3 linked regions of the Oryza sativa Japonica Group genome follow. The protein of the gene in region 3 binds, or shares a complex with, the protein of the main gene of each other region. Links are inferred from orthologs where the notes say so. Each region holds a gene or a part of one and is shown on either strand. Other genes may lie near its edges.

Region 1 (4,543 bases), on a different chromosome or scaffold from region 3:
CTATGAAGCTTCCTGAGATGCAATGCAGCAGATGCTCAGCTTTATCTTACACAAGATTTTATTATTCAACACAAGCTTTGCCTTCTTCCAGTAGAAATTTTGCTATAGTATCACGGCCATTGCTATTCTTTTTTACATTTTGTAGTATAGAAATAAGAATCTGATAATCAACATTGATATAATGATTTAGACCGAACTAATTAAGGAACATTAGGAACTTTCATAACTTGACACATGTTTTTTTTTTCCTTTTGGCATATAAGTATACAACATAGAATATTTGTACCTCTTAGTCTAGTCTCCCAATATCCGCTGCATAAATGTTTTATGCAGAGCAACAAGGGTAACAAACTAAATAACAGAAGGACTCACTCCACAAATATTAATGCGGAAATTGTCATCAACACAATTCAGGCATACAGGTCCTGTTTATGAAAAGAAAATGTGTAACCTTGCTTGTCTCATCATGTTACATACACTCAAGGCTAAAATGCAAATTGATCTGGACAAGTAGTCACAATGGCATGGTGCCGATCAGCTGATGAACTTTGTGGCCAAAGAGGCAGATGAATCCATCGAACAGCAGGCAGAGGCACAGATAACTTGAGAAGTTCAGAGTAAACCCCGTCTTCTTTTGTAGTCACTGACGGTCAGAGTTAGAGCATGCCTCCTTCCATCATTGTCAGGGACCTTGTAACCCATGGTTGCTTCAATCTTCTGCTTCCTCGCCATGTAACCATCGAAGAGACCCTTGGGACCGCCGAATTCTTCCAGGCCGGCCAATGATATACCGAGCTCAAAATTATGCAGCAAATTCGATTCCGTTCCCAGATCTACAGGTGCATTGGTATCAACCAGCTTACCGGCATCAGCAGCTGCCACTAGAGCCGCTGCAGTGGCTGCTGAACCACCTCGCGGCCCGTTCTTCGTATCTTCATCGCCAGCTACTGCGCTGCCATCGTTCCCGTTGGGGACTTCAGCGCTCTCTCCTTCAGGCTTTGCTGCGTAGTAATTTCTTGATCTTGTCCATCTCCTTGAAAAGGGATCATAACCAGCCTCTCCAACCTTCAAACTCGTGTTAACGGGCTTCATTTCTGATGCGTTCTTGAAGTTCTCAGCACGGTTCTTCTTGTTCATCGCCTCCAACTTGGCAGCCTTCTCATTATTTGATATTGGCTTCGACATCTTCTGCAGCTGATTGAGCTTTGAACGGATCCTTTCTGCTTCAGCTTCATCCCTCCTGGCAATGGCCATATCCAACTCATTCCTCAACCGATCCTTCTCAGCAGCAACATTGATAGGACGTCTGATAGCTGATTTCTTCTCTTTTAGCATCTTCTGTACAGTATGTGCTGAATACACAAAGTTGTAGGCCTGTTGAATGGCTTCTTTCTTCTCCAATACATCCTGCCGAGTCGGTACTCGCACACCATTCTTCTCAGCCACTTGTAGCCACTTCTTGAACTCCTCTTCACTGGGAAAGGAGTCTGATACTTGAGTCATCTGCCACCGAGCAGCATTAGCCTCATTGTCCCACACAACATTGAGGTACTTGCACGTCGTGTAGCCCTCCAACTTGTACTTCCGGTCAGGGTCATTCGCATCCACGTTTCTAACTATGCATAGCCTGTAATCAGGGGTCCCTGATTTTGACTTGCCAATCCCAAGCCGCACAAAGCACCCAGACACAAGGTCCTCAAAGAACGGCTCCATGAACCATTTCACAAGCTTTGATCTCCTGAGGGTTATACTCTTCACATCGTCAAACTTCAGAGGGTCAAGCCTGCTTGGCGATTCATCAAACTCATCATCCCGGGTTTCATCGGTGATCCTCCCCCTGTTATCACCATCATTACTACCGTCGCTGGGCGGGCTTCCGGCCCTGCGCCTCGGCGGAGAGCCGCTCTGCGGGATCAAATCCTTGAACCTGTTACGGTACCCCTCCGGGTCCTGCTGCCTCATCCGCTTGGCCCGCAGCTCGTCCAGCGCGCTCTTGGCGGCGGACCTGTCGGTCCTGGCCGACGACCGCGCGCGGCTCGGCGGCGGCGGAGGGCTGCTGTCCCTCCGCGACTTGTCCGCCTTGGACGACGACGACGACGCCCTCGCCAGCTGCTTCAGCTTGTAGTCGTCGATCCGCGCGCCGCGCTCCGCCAGGATCATCTCCCTGTCCAGCTCCGACATCTTCTCCAGCTGCTCCTTGTCGTCCTCGTCCTTGTACAGGTCGCTCCCGACCGACGGCGCGCTGTCTGAGTCATCGCCGCTGCGCCTCCCCTCGTCGAGCTCGTCGTCGTCGTCGTCGTCGTCATCGTCGTCGCCCTCCTTCCACCCACCACCACCACCACCTCTCCCTCCGCCCTTCTCCGGCTGGTGCCGCTTCTTGAGCGGCACCTGCGACCCCGACGGCGGCCGCTTCCTCGAGAGGGTCGGCGCGGCGTCGGAGTCGTCGGAGTCGCCCCCGTCGCCGCCGCCGCCGCCGTCGTCGTCCGAGCCGCTCCCGCCGGAGTACGACGACCCGCGCCTCCCCCGCTGCTGCTGCTGCGACGACCACCGCTGGCCCTGGCCCGACGACGGCCCCCGTGCCCCGCCGCCCTTCCCCGCCCCCGTCGTCCGCCCCGCCGCCTGCAGCAGCAGATCCTCGAGGTTGTTGTTGTCCGGCATGGCCGATCAAACAGCAACTCTCCTGCACAATTCCACAAACCAAAATCCATCAACCATCGAATCAAGAAACGCGAGCCTATCCGGGATCTGGGACAGCGGAGGGGAGAGAGAGAGAGAGGGAGGGGGGGGGGGGGAAGGCGAGACTCACCTCGAGACAGCAGCAAGAACAGAGTCGGCGAACGCCGGTGGGGGGCGAGAAGGATGGTGGCTAGGCCTGCTCGGTCGCTGGCTCGCCGGGATCGATGGCTGGAGGCGGCGGAGACGGCGGCGGAGGAGGGGAGGAGGAGAGTGCGCTGGCCCTAGATGGGGAAGTTGGGTTGTGAGGAGATTCGGTTGGAGTTATGGGCTTTTTTGTGGGGCTTTACTCTTGGGCCCTTGGGCCGGGAGAGCCCAATGAATCACATTGTAAAATGAGATTTGTGTTTTTTTTAATAAAGAAGAAGAAGAAGAAGAATGTTGTCACATTACTATCTCAGTATGGTTCAGTTTGGGGAGCGTTTGGGGAGCTTATAACGGTTGCAGTTTCTCCTAAAAAATCAAACTCCCTAGCTGTAGATCCCCAAACAGCCTAGATTTTATTCCCGATTCTAAGAATTTGTAACTATAGAATCCAGAAAATAACCAACTGCTTAATCCTAAACTCCGTCAAACAGGTTCTTTCTATGTCTTAGATTTTCATAAGTTGTATTCTAATTTGAAAAGGTTATGCATTGTATTAGTAACTAGTCAAATTTGAAATACTTGTTGAAATTATAATGCATAGATTCAAATTTTGTCATCACAAAGGCCCCGTTCTTTCCTGAGTAATATTCAGATTCTAACTTAGTTTCAATTAGCACGATTTTCAAACTGCTAAGTTGTTCTAATATATTAAATAAATCTATTTAAAATTTGCAATAATTAAAACTCAATTAATCATAAGCTGATGTTTTTTTTTTTGTTTTCTGTGTCCTTAATCTACGTTTTCCCACGTTGCCAACCCCACCAAAATGTTGGTTTCAGTGATACTATTTCATAAAATAGTGATTGTTAGTTTATGTTTTAGTATTACCGTATTGCATACGGTAACTTTTAGTGCAATATTAGTTTGTGTGGTCGTTAAGGGACTTCAACAAAGGATGCAATCTGCATTCAACCAGAGTGAAAGAGAATGTACATTGGAACTATTCTAGTTATTTCAGATATAGATCAACAAACAAAGTACAAAATAAACTATTATGGATACAAGGTTTAAGTATGAAAAATATTGAATTCAGTCCTAAAAGTTGGTTTCATCCACTAGACCACTAGTGCAGGGCTCATTGAATCCTCCTATAATTCCACCATGCACTAGCAATTGCAGGCTAACCTAAGTATACCTAACTAATCTTGTGATTTCTTCTGAAGCTGTGCTTAGCAACTGACTACTCTACAATTCAATAGCTATAAACTGAAAATTTTATTTACAACGAATATTAAACATGGCCATATTACAATGCCGTGGAGCAAACAGCTTCAGTCACAGCAAGCAAAAAATATTATCAGGGCCTACGCTTTTCTCAATATGAAAACATGAGCGACCAAGAAACCTCAACGCTCATCCGGCAAAACCCAACATCAAGTGTGTCACGACTCCATCCACATCTTACCGGGATAAACTTTTTGGAAGCACAGCTGATGTTCTCATCACCACTTTGCCTTGCATGAACATCAACAATCAACGCTCCGCCATTTCCTTCAACTGCAACTACACTGCGGCAGAAATGAATGGCTCCATCATGGGAGAAAGCCACCATTTCTTCCCCAGAGTCCAGCAATATGACATGTTCATTGATACTAGCAGTATGTGCAATGAACTTTCCACAGAAATCAGTTGAACCTCCTGTAATCCTGACCTTGATTGTAG
Region 2 (4,010 bases), on a different chromosome or scaffold from region 3:
TGATGCTTCACTTTGAAAAACTGAAGCATTTCTATAGCGCATTTCTATGTTTACCTTCAGATATAAACACTGAGGCGTCTCAGAGTTAGGCAAGACACATATTCACATTATGGCTTATGAGGACTGTAAAAAAAGATTATAAATTCCAGTGACAAAAGCACTTAATCGGGCTAGAATTGAAGATATTTTTACTTCAAACTGACAACTTGAGATCACTTGCAAAAGAACAATAAGGAGCGAGTTTGCAACTCTGAGGCCAATACTGGAAATAAACGCACTCTACTTGCAACTCATGAGCTTAATTAGGATTGTACAACAGGTTTTTTTTTCCAATGCAAGTTGGAAACAGCTGACTACAATGAAGTTGCAGGTTGCAGTGTTAAAACTATGAGTAATCGTACAGGGTGATGCTCTTGTCATCTGACACGCTGGCAAGCCGGCCTGCGCGGACTCCTGTCCCACCCGGTGGTCGGAAGGCGACAGCCCAGACCTGATCATTGTGGTTGCTCATCGTCTGCACCGACGCCCTCGTGTTGATGTCCCAAAGCCGGACCGTGCGGTCACTGGAGCCTGTCGCTACCGCCATGCCGTCTGGGCTCACGTCGATGCTCAGCACCCAGCTCGCATGCCCTGACATGGCCCCAATGAGGCTCTTCTCCTTGGCGTCGTATATGTGGATGTGGCAATCGTCGGAGGCAGTGAAGAGCACGTGCGGGTCCACTGGAGAGAACACCATTGATCTCACTGGCATGTGATGGCCCTCAAGGTGGTGGAGGAACTTCATGCGAACTGCGTCATACACAGCGATGGTGCCATCCATGGAACCACAAGCTAAGAGCTTGCCATCAGGACTCCATGCAACTGAAAGGACAAACTTGCCGCTTCCTGTTTTATCAGGGCGAGCTCCCTCTGGACGCGGAACAGCAAGGCTGGTAATTGGCTTCCACTTCTCTGTGTCCCAGAGCTTCACTGATCCACTGCCACCACCAGCTGCAGCCAGAGCACTACCCTGTGAAGGAAAGCATTTGTGGGTGAGGTAATAATGTCAGTAGCTAGAACAAGTGAAGACCTTCAGTAAAGTGAGGCTACCATAAAAGGAGGTTAATTCCTGGTACTGCAGGTTTTAGAAAAATTAGTATATGCTGTCAACAAAGGTATATAGAGATAGCACAGTGGAAAACGCTGAATGCGTAACACGTCTCAACTGCAAGTGAGAAGACAAGCTTGAACAAGCATCTCCGATTCTCATTGAATTAGACATAATTGTATCAACACGTTTATGGAAGAAAATAAATAATGTCTTAAGGCCATAGGTCAATTCTAGCAAGGTTTAGTACATACCAAAATATCATTTAAGAAAAATAGTATGTTCTGGAAATTAGCAAGATGAATCACAACAAGGCAATATGAAAATGAATTGACCACAGATACGCTACTTTGACAAACCATTTCTGGCAGTGATTGCAATGGGCGTAGTGATGTTTAGTCATCTTGCACAGAAAGGTGGGTTACCCAAATAGATAATTATCTGGCATATTGTGAAAAACATGAATACAAATCAATTTTTAAAATACAAAGGAAGCATGAAAACAGGACCTATGCAAAACCTGTAACTATGATAAAAATATGTCCAATGAGTTTGGATACACAATTAATTGTCGCTTAATTTACTGAGTCTGAAAGAGAATCGAAAAGGTAGGATTCAACATTATTCTCAGAGTCTAAGCGACTATGCAGTAAATGTTGCACACACTTTGCCAGCAATGCATGAAACACCATACTTCACATGATGATCCTCTTCAAAGCGATTACTAAATTTGTTGCAGTGTTGAGATGAAGGAGCGCTATTCCACAAAAGTGAGGTACTGTGGTCAATGATAATAAGCAGTAACAACTGAATATACTGTCAGACTTGCCCACCGAATTTAACAACCAAACCTCAGTCATCAATTGCGTATTTGAACTGCTCGAAAATTGAAATGATCACTTTGCATATATTCCTTAACTTTGCGAAAACATTCTTTTAGATTCCTTTATTTTCTTTAAATCTAATAAAACTACCACAAAGTGCCAATCAAGGCCACACTTTTGTCATGAAGTTTCAGTTAAAATGATACTAAAATCTACTAAAACATCTGAGAAAAGATCACACATTACACTAGGTAAAAAAAACCACACTAGACATATTCCAAACTATACAAACCCATACAACAGATGGAAATGATGCTCGAATCAACTGTAATTACCACATTATCACACTGAAATCCCACGCCTCTCACATCTCCCCCACACAACGAATCTAGTCAAGCAACCTCAGAATGTGAATCGCAAAGCAAAGATGGTGGGGTGGGGGGTAGGATCATCACCTACCTTGGGGTGGAACTGGATGCCCCAGACCTCGGAGGGAGGGGCCTCGAGCGTGGCGACGGAGGAGCCCGAGTCCACATCGAAGACGCGGACGTAGCTGTCGAGGGAGACGGCGGCGGCGACGGCGCCCGCGGGGTGGGCGGCGAGCGACACCACCCCGAGCGCGTGGCCCCGCGAGGGGGAGGCGGCGGCGGAGGCGAGGTCGTCGGGGGCCCAGAGGCGGACGGTCTCGTCGAGGGCGCCCGTCAGGAGCAGCGCCGCGGGGCGGTGGTCCGCCGCGGGCACCCACGCCGCCGCCCAGATGGACTCCTCGTGGGCCCCGTCCACCGACTTGAGCCCCGCGAGCTTCATCTCTGCTGCTGCTCTGCTCGAGGAGGAAGACGAAGTCGAAGTCGAGGAAACCCTAGCGTTTGATCTGGTTGGGGAGGGGAGTGAGAGAGACGAGGGGTTCGTGGGTTTTAGAGAGGAGGAAGACGATACGAGTACTAGTAAATTTCCTTTTTTTTTCTTTTCTTTTCAGATGATTTTAAAATAAAAAAATAGAAAAAAAAATGCACGTCTGTTGCAACATGTGAAGTCTAGTTTAATCTTATTATTGTTATGCGGTTTAGTTAAAAGTGAAATTAGCTGTGAGAATTCACGTGGATGTATATTCTTTTAAGAAAATCAGAAGTCGCAGTTAGGAGTCCGATCATTTTAAGTTAGCATAAGAGCTTTTCTAAAGAGATTTCTTATACGACTTCTACAGTATTTTAAAACTAATGAATAAATTAATAAATAACGGCAAAACATCTAATTTTTATAATTGTAAAGAAGAGAATTGGGCATTGAGGAGTAATTGGGCCTGCATTTTTACTGGGCCTTTCAGGATAGGCTGAACTGGGCTGATTTGGCATGCCCATTTGATAAAAGTAAATGCCCATACTATCATTTCCCCCTCGAATAACAAGTCCATCTTCATATATTACTGTTTTGTTTTTTAAGTCAAACCTATTTAGGTTTCATCAAGTTTATAGAAAAATTAATAATAATATCTATAATACCAGATTAGTTTTGTTAAACCTAACTTTTAATATATTATGGTCGTGTGTTTGTTTTGGGTAAAAAAATGTTACTATATATTTGGGTTAAAAGTTTGATTAGGAAAAGATCAAAGGGTCTTTTATATAAAACGAAGAAAGTAGTAGAAATGCATGCTTGTTTTGTTCTCACTTTTGAGCCCTATCAAAATTTGACATTACCAAACATATTAGACGTGTTCGGTTGTGTTTGCTGCCTATGGATGCGAGCCTGCGATAGCATTGGAAACGACTGTAGACAACAGCGGCCAGCGTATCCTGTCAGCCCCATTGTTACTACCGCTACCCAATCAAATTTAAGTGGTTTCAGAAAATTGCGTTCTTAAAAGCTATACCAAAATAAATTTGGTAAGGTTTCAAACCAAATGCATTCAAGACTATCAGAATTTGCAAACCAAATGCAAACCAAAAGTGTTAAATTTTGGTAGGGTTAGTTGAACAGCAAACCAAACATGTCATAGATTCCATTTTTGAATGAAAAGAAAATGAATTGCAAGATTAAACTCCCATTCCAGGGAGAACAAGTTCAAATCCAAGGAAAAGGTATAAATATATCACGTGGAA
Region 3 (4,621 bases):
CTGGAATAGCCAACCAAGCTTATATAATATGTATAAAGTAATCCAGCAGAACCTCTGTAACTAAATCTACAGAAGGATGGTTGGCATTACCATTTTTGCTGCATCGGTGCTAAGTGGCGAAATATATTGTGTTTTGACCAGCCAAGACATACCCTTGTCGGTGGGCCTCTCTTTTTTCCTTATACCATCTTTTTTAACAGGGGTGAGAACCTCATCATCACGCAATAGCTCTTCATCTTCTGGAGCCATGGGTGGCTGAACAGGAGGAGTACTAAAAATAGTTTGTGCATAAGTTAGGTATGCTAAAAAGAATCTTCTTATAAGGATAGCAGCTAAGAATACATATATCTGGCTCAATTCATACTTATATACGCTCATATCAAGTAGGTCAAGAGGTATTCCGAGATCCTCGGGGACAATCATTTTGGGTATGTAGTTCTTCTCCAATGAAGTGATTCTGTATTTGGTATATCTGCAAAGAGGTAGCGGATAGCAAAACAAAGAGTGAACACAGACATCCTAAAATAATATTAAGAGCACCATGCACGGCGAAGAACAGTAGAGAGAAACAGAAAAATTCAACACAGACTAATGTTCTGGATAGCGGAATAAAAGTGAAAAGCAGAGGAGGCTATGCAAATTGAAAAAAAAAAATCAAAAGCAAATGGCACAGGACCTCTGTGTAGGTGTAACAAAGGTGCACTGGCAAGCTCTCATACACAATGAAGTAGCTAGTGATAATGACTGTTTTTCTAAGAAACAGTGTGCTTCAGGAACCATACATAAACCAGAATGTGGCAATCATTTCCTGTCAAGAGAATTACACAACTACCAGAAATATTCTAACTTAATTTATCCTTCAAGCCATGAAAAACATGGCTGCTGCATAACGCTCCAATACCACCACTTGACCTACTTCATCAAGGATCATGAAGTGATTTTTTGTGAAGATAAATTCTTCACAAAGATCTAATCGTCAGCATTCACAAAATGACATGGTAAATTAAAGGAACATGGAATAATTCAATTTTCTGCTCGGTCTACTACACCTAAATTCAAGCTGCCCAAATGACCGAAAATTTGGGAGAGTACTCTCTAACAACAAATGAAGGGCACTTAGTGGCAACACACAAAGAAAGGACTTACGCTCTATGATCAGTAAATGACCAACCTCAGTTGTCTTGACACAAAGTTATCTTCAAATCGGAAGATGATAAAGCTAGATAAACAACATTGAAATGGCTTGTACTGTAACAGGTGCATTGCTAATCACCACTACAACAAGCAACAATAGAAATCAATCCGAGAAAAAGGAGAGTAGACAAGTAGTTCTTTATACCGGTCCTTATCCTTGTTCAGTGGCAACCATTTTAGCTGAGAGCTTGGATCTGGCAGCTCATTCCTAAACCTGCACCAATCCATAACAAAAGATTCATCAAAGAGTTCCATTCTGAAATAGAGACATAATCGCAATATTACATTCCATGCACATCAGTTGCTCTGGAAAGTATCTAAATTTGGGAAAATGCCAATCACATCACTACAGCAATACTTTCACCTATATTTTTTTCACAGCGCAAAAGGGCTCCTCTTTTAATTTTATAAAAAGAAATAACTAAAGACAAGCATAACCCATCAACCTCTTAAGAACTATGAACTGTATTCTAAGTGACTATCTCGAATTAAGCATAAAGAACTAAAAGTAAAAAATAAAAATACAATAAAATGGTTGATTTGCATCTCAATGCCACTACACCATATGTTGCCTTGGAACATCTAATAGGCAGCTGCGGCTTGTCACTAGTCCAGCATCACAGCATTTAGCAACCGCGCAGGTTGCTCTTAAGGCATAAACCAACCAAAATACTACCAAACTGTATCTAAGAATAACTTTAAGTTTGATCAAAACACACACTTCACTTGTAAGACCAAAAGTGTTAGCTAAGAATTACTACAGTTTTGCCGAAAACATAAACTTCTACGACCTAATACACTCTCTTTTCTCCAATAGCTACTCTGATAATCACAGAATACAAAACTTTGTGCCACTCACTTGTGTTTGCAGAGGAAGGTCGTCGGCTTCTTGAGGCGATTCTCAAATCTCTCGGCGTTGGGAGCTGCGGCGGGGCGAGTCGCGGTCACCGCTGGCCGGGACCCACCCGATGGCTGCTGATGGTGGCGGCTCTGCGGCTGCTGGGCGGCGCGCACCTGCTGCGTCTTCTGCAGAACCGTGGCCTGTGACTGCCGCATCATCTGCTGGTTCTTCCGATCCTCGGCCCGCTGCTTCTCGTACTCTCGCTTCTTCCGAGCACGCCGCTCCTCCTCCGTCTCCGCCCTTGGCAGCGCCGACTTGCTCTGCTGCTCCCTCGGTGGAGGCGGAGCAAGCTGGGCCTCCCTAGGAGGCGGCTGCGTGGGAGGAGGTGGAGGCGGGGGTGGCGCCGAAGGTGGAGGAGACGGCGGCGGCGGGGGCGGAGGAGGCGGCTGGCTGCTGTTCACGCCGTACGGCGGCGGCGGCGGCGGCGGCTGGTAGTACATCTGCGGCGGCGGAGGCGGCTGCTGTTGCTGCGGGGGACCAGGGCCGAAGTTGAACTGCGGCTGGTGCGGCGGTGGCGGGCCCGGTGGCGGCGGCGGCGGCGGGGCCAGGAACGGCGGCGGCGCCCCCTGCGGCGGAGGCATGTGGCCGTACGCCGGCTGCTGCGGCGGCGGCGGCCCGTACGGGTTCATCGGCGGCGGCTGCGGCGGGAACCCACCCTGCGGCGGCGGCGGGTGCGGCGCGTACGGCCGGTACGACGCCATCCTAGGGTTTCCCCAAACCCTAACCCCAGCGCCGCAGCAGCAGCAGCAGCAACCCCGCGCCCGCGGCGGCTACCTCTCCCACCACCTCGTCGTCGTCGGAAGCTTCTAGAAGGGTCCAGAAGCAGCAGGGACCCACCAGATCTACGCGAGGGGGATCGCGATGCAGAGGAGGAGAGGAAGCTCGCGAGGTGTTCGACGAATCGACGAGGCGAAAGCGGGGGCGGAGAAATTCGGCGCAGGTGCGCGACGCGAGAGCAAAGCCACGCCACGGGGGATTTCGAACACGGGGTGTTTTCCCCTTTTTTGGGTTTGAATTCGGCGGAATTTTGGTTGGATTTGGAATTGACTTGCATTTAACTTTAGTTTTGTACTTTCAGCCCCTTTCATCGTTAGATGATGAGACTATTAAAGGGATGTAAATAATGTTAGTGGCACACGCGTGATATATTCTCAGTTGCGATTGGTTAATGGTTATGCCACATGTTACTTCTAAATATAAACATGATAATAAATAATATGGTCACTTTTTCTTTAATGGAATCTAATTAATCGGAATTAATGCTCTCACCTTCGATGAATGCTTGTCGGTTTTAACCGAAAGTGGATGGGTTTTGATTTTCGACAATCAATTTTTAAGTAACATCAAAGCAAATTGATCTTATTAAGATACTAGAAATATGCCTTTGATTATAGATCTTATTGCACAACTTTGGCACTAAATAACTATCTTATCAAAAATATGTTTGGTGAAGAAAAGCGTATTTTGGTTGCCGTGTGTCTATTTAATCAACGCGTAGCCATCCAGGTATATGTGGGCTCCTACTATCATCTAGGAGTTATGAGGTATGTATACGTCGATTATCACGTATTCTTTGTATACCGTGAACTCTATATAACCACAAGCAATACAAATTGATTCGGTGCATACCAAGAATCACAAAATATTAACGAGCTTAAGGCGCAACTGATGCACATACTCGAGCAAGTGGCAAACAAAATAGGCGAGGGGAGCTATCCTAACATATTTCATAATCGCCATGATTTTTGTAGTTGTTTTCTTTCATCATGCGATGCATTTTTTTTTTGCTTACCCTTATTTTTTTAGTATGTATGCACCTATTACGGTAACACGTGTATTTCTTCCAATCTTAGCATATCATATTGGACAATATTTTTTCTTTATTAGTATCTGCAAACAAACCATGTATTGTACCTCTTGGGTATGAGTTCATTGTGAGAGAAGTCACCTACAAAGTGGGGCAATAACAACGACGAAATATATGACCCGTCATTTAGATAATGCAGGTTATCAAGTTGTTGTTGAAGTTTGTCTTTCTACAACTACACCAAGTTCAGACGTAGCAATTGTGAGTGCGACATCCGTTATCAGTAACGCATTACTTGGCGAACAAGAAGATGCAATAGGTAGGTTAGTCAAGATGCTTAGGGTCGTGAGGAATCAAATCGTTCCTAGAAAAGAAGTAAAAAAAACACTTGATATAGTGAGATTTCGAACACGGGGTGTTTTCCCTTTTTCGGTTTGAATTTGGAAGAATTTTGGTTGGATTTGGAACTGATTTGCATTTAAACTGTGATTTGCATTTAAACTTCAGTTTTGCACTTCAGCCCCTTTCATCGTTTGATGATGAGACTACTGAAAGGATGTAAATAATGTTAGTGGCACACACATGGTATATTCAGTTGCGATTGGTTAATGGTTATGCCACGTGTTACTTCTAAATATAAACATGATAATAAACAGTATGGTCACCTTTTCTTAATAGAATCTAATTAATCGGATTAATGTTTTCTCTTTCAATGAATT

Evidence for each region.
Region 1: protein PAF1 homolog (region 3) and protein RTF1 homolog share a complex: the UniProt entries of both Arabidopsis thaliana proteins name them as parts of the nuclear PAF1 complex. The link is inferred for Oryza sativa Japonica Group from reciprocal best matches to the Arabidopsis thaliana genes ELF7 and VIP5.
Region 2: protein PAF1 homolog (region 3) and WD repeat-containing protein VIP3 share a complex: the UniProt entries of both Arabidopsis thaliana proteins name them as parts of the nuclear PAF1 complex. The link is inferred for Oryza sativa Japonica Group from reciprocal best matches to the Arabidopsis thaliana genes ELF7 and VIP3.

The regions. Positions count from the first base shown.
Region 1 is NC_089046.1:21,992,754-21,997,296, reverse strand, and holds protein RTF1 homolog, read right to left. Parts: upstream 2,980-4,543; 5' UTR 2,807-2,979; intron 2,681-2,806; 5' UTR 2,659-2,680; coding exon 613-2,658; 3' UTR 219-612; downstream 1-218. UniProt on the Arabidopsis thaliana protein: Component of the PAF1 complex (PAF1C) which is involved in histone modifications such as methylation on histone H3 'Lys-4' (H3K4me3). Involved in regulation of flowering time.
Region 2 is NC_089045.1:28,461,606-28,465,615, reverse strand, and holds WD repeat-containing protein VIP3, read right to left. Parts: upstream 2,801-4,010; 5' UTR 2,719-2,800; coding exon 2,371-2,718; intron 1,010-2,370; coding exon 386-1,009; 3' UTR 169-385; downstream 1-168. UniProt on the Arabidopsis thaliana protein: Component of the PAF1 complex (PAF1C) which is involved in histone modifications such as methylation on histone H3 'Lys-4' (H3K4me3). Involved in regulation of flowering time. Required for the expression of the flowering repressor and MADS box gene FLC.
Region 3 is NC_089042.1:3,362,502-3,367,122, forward strand, and holds the start of protein PAF1 homolog, read right to left. Parts: upstream 3,066-4,621; 5' UTR 2,797-3,065; coding exon 2,054-2,796; intron 1,409-2,053; coding exon 1,340-1,408; intron 473-1,339; coding exon 365-472; intron 272-364; coding exon 91-271; intron 1-90. UniProt on the Arabidopsis thaliana protein: Component of the PAF1 complex (PAF1C) which is involved in histone modifications such as methylation on histone H3 'Lys-4' (H3K4me3). Involved in regulation of flowering time.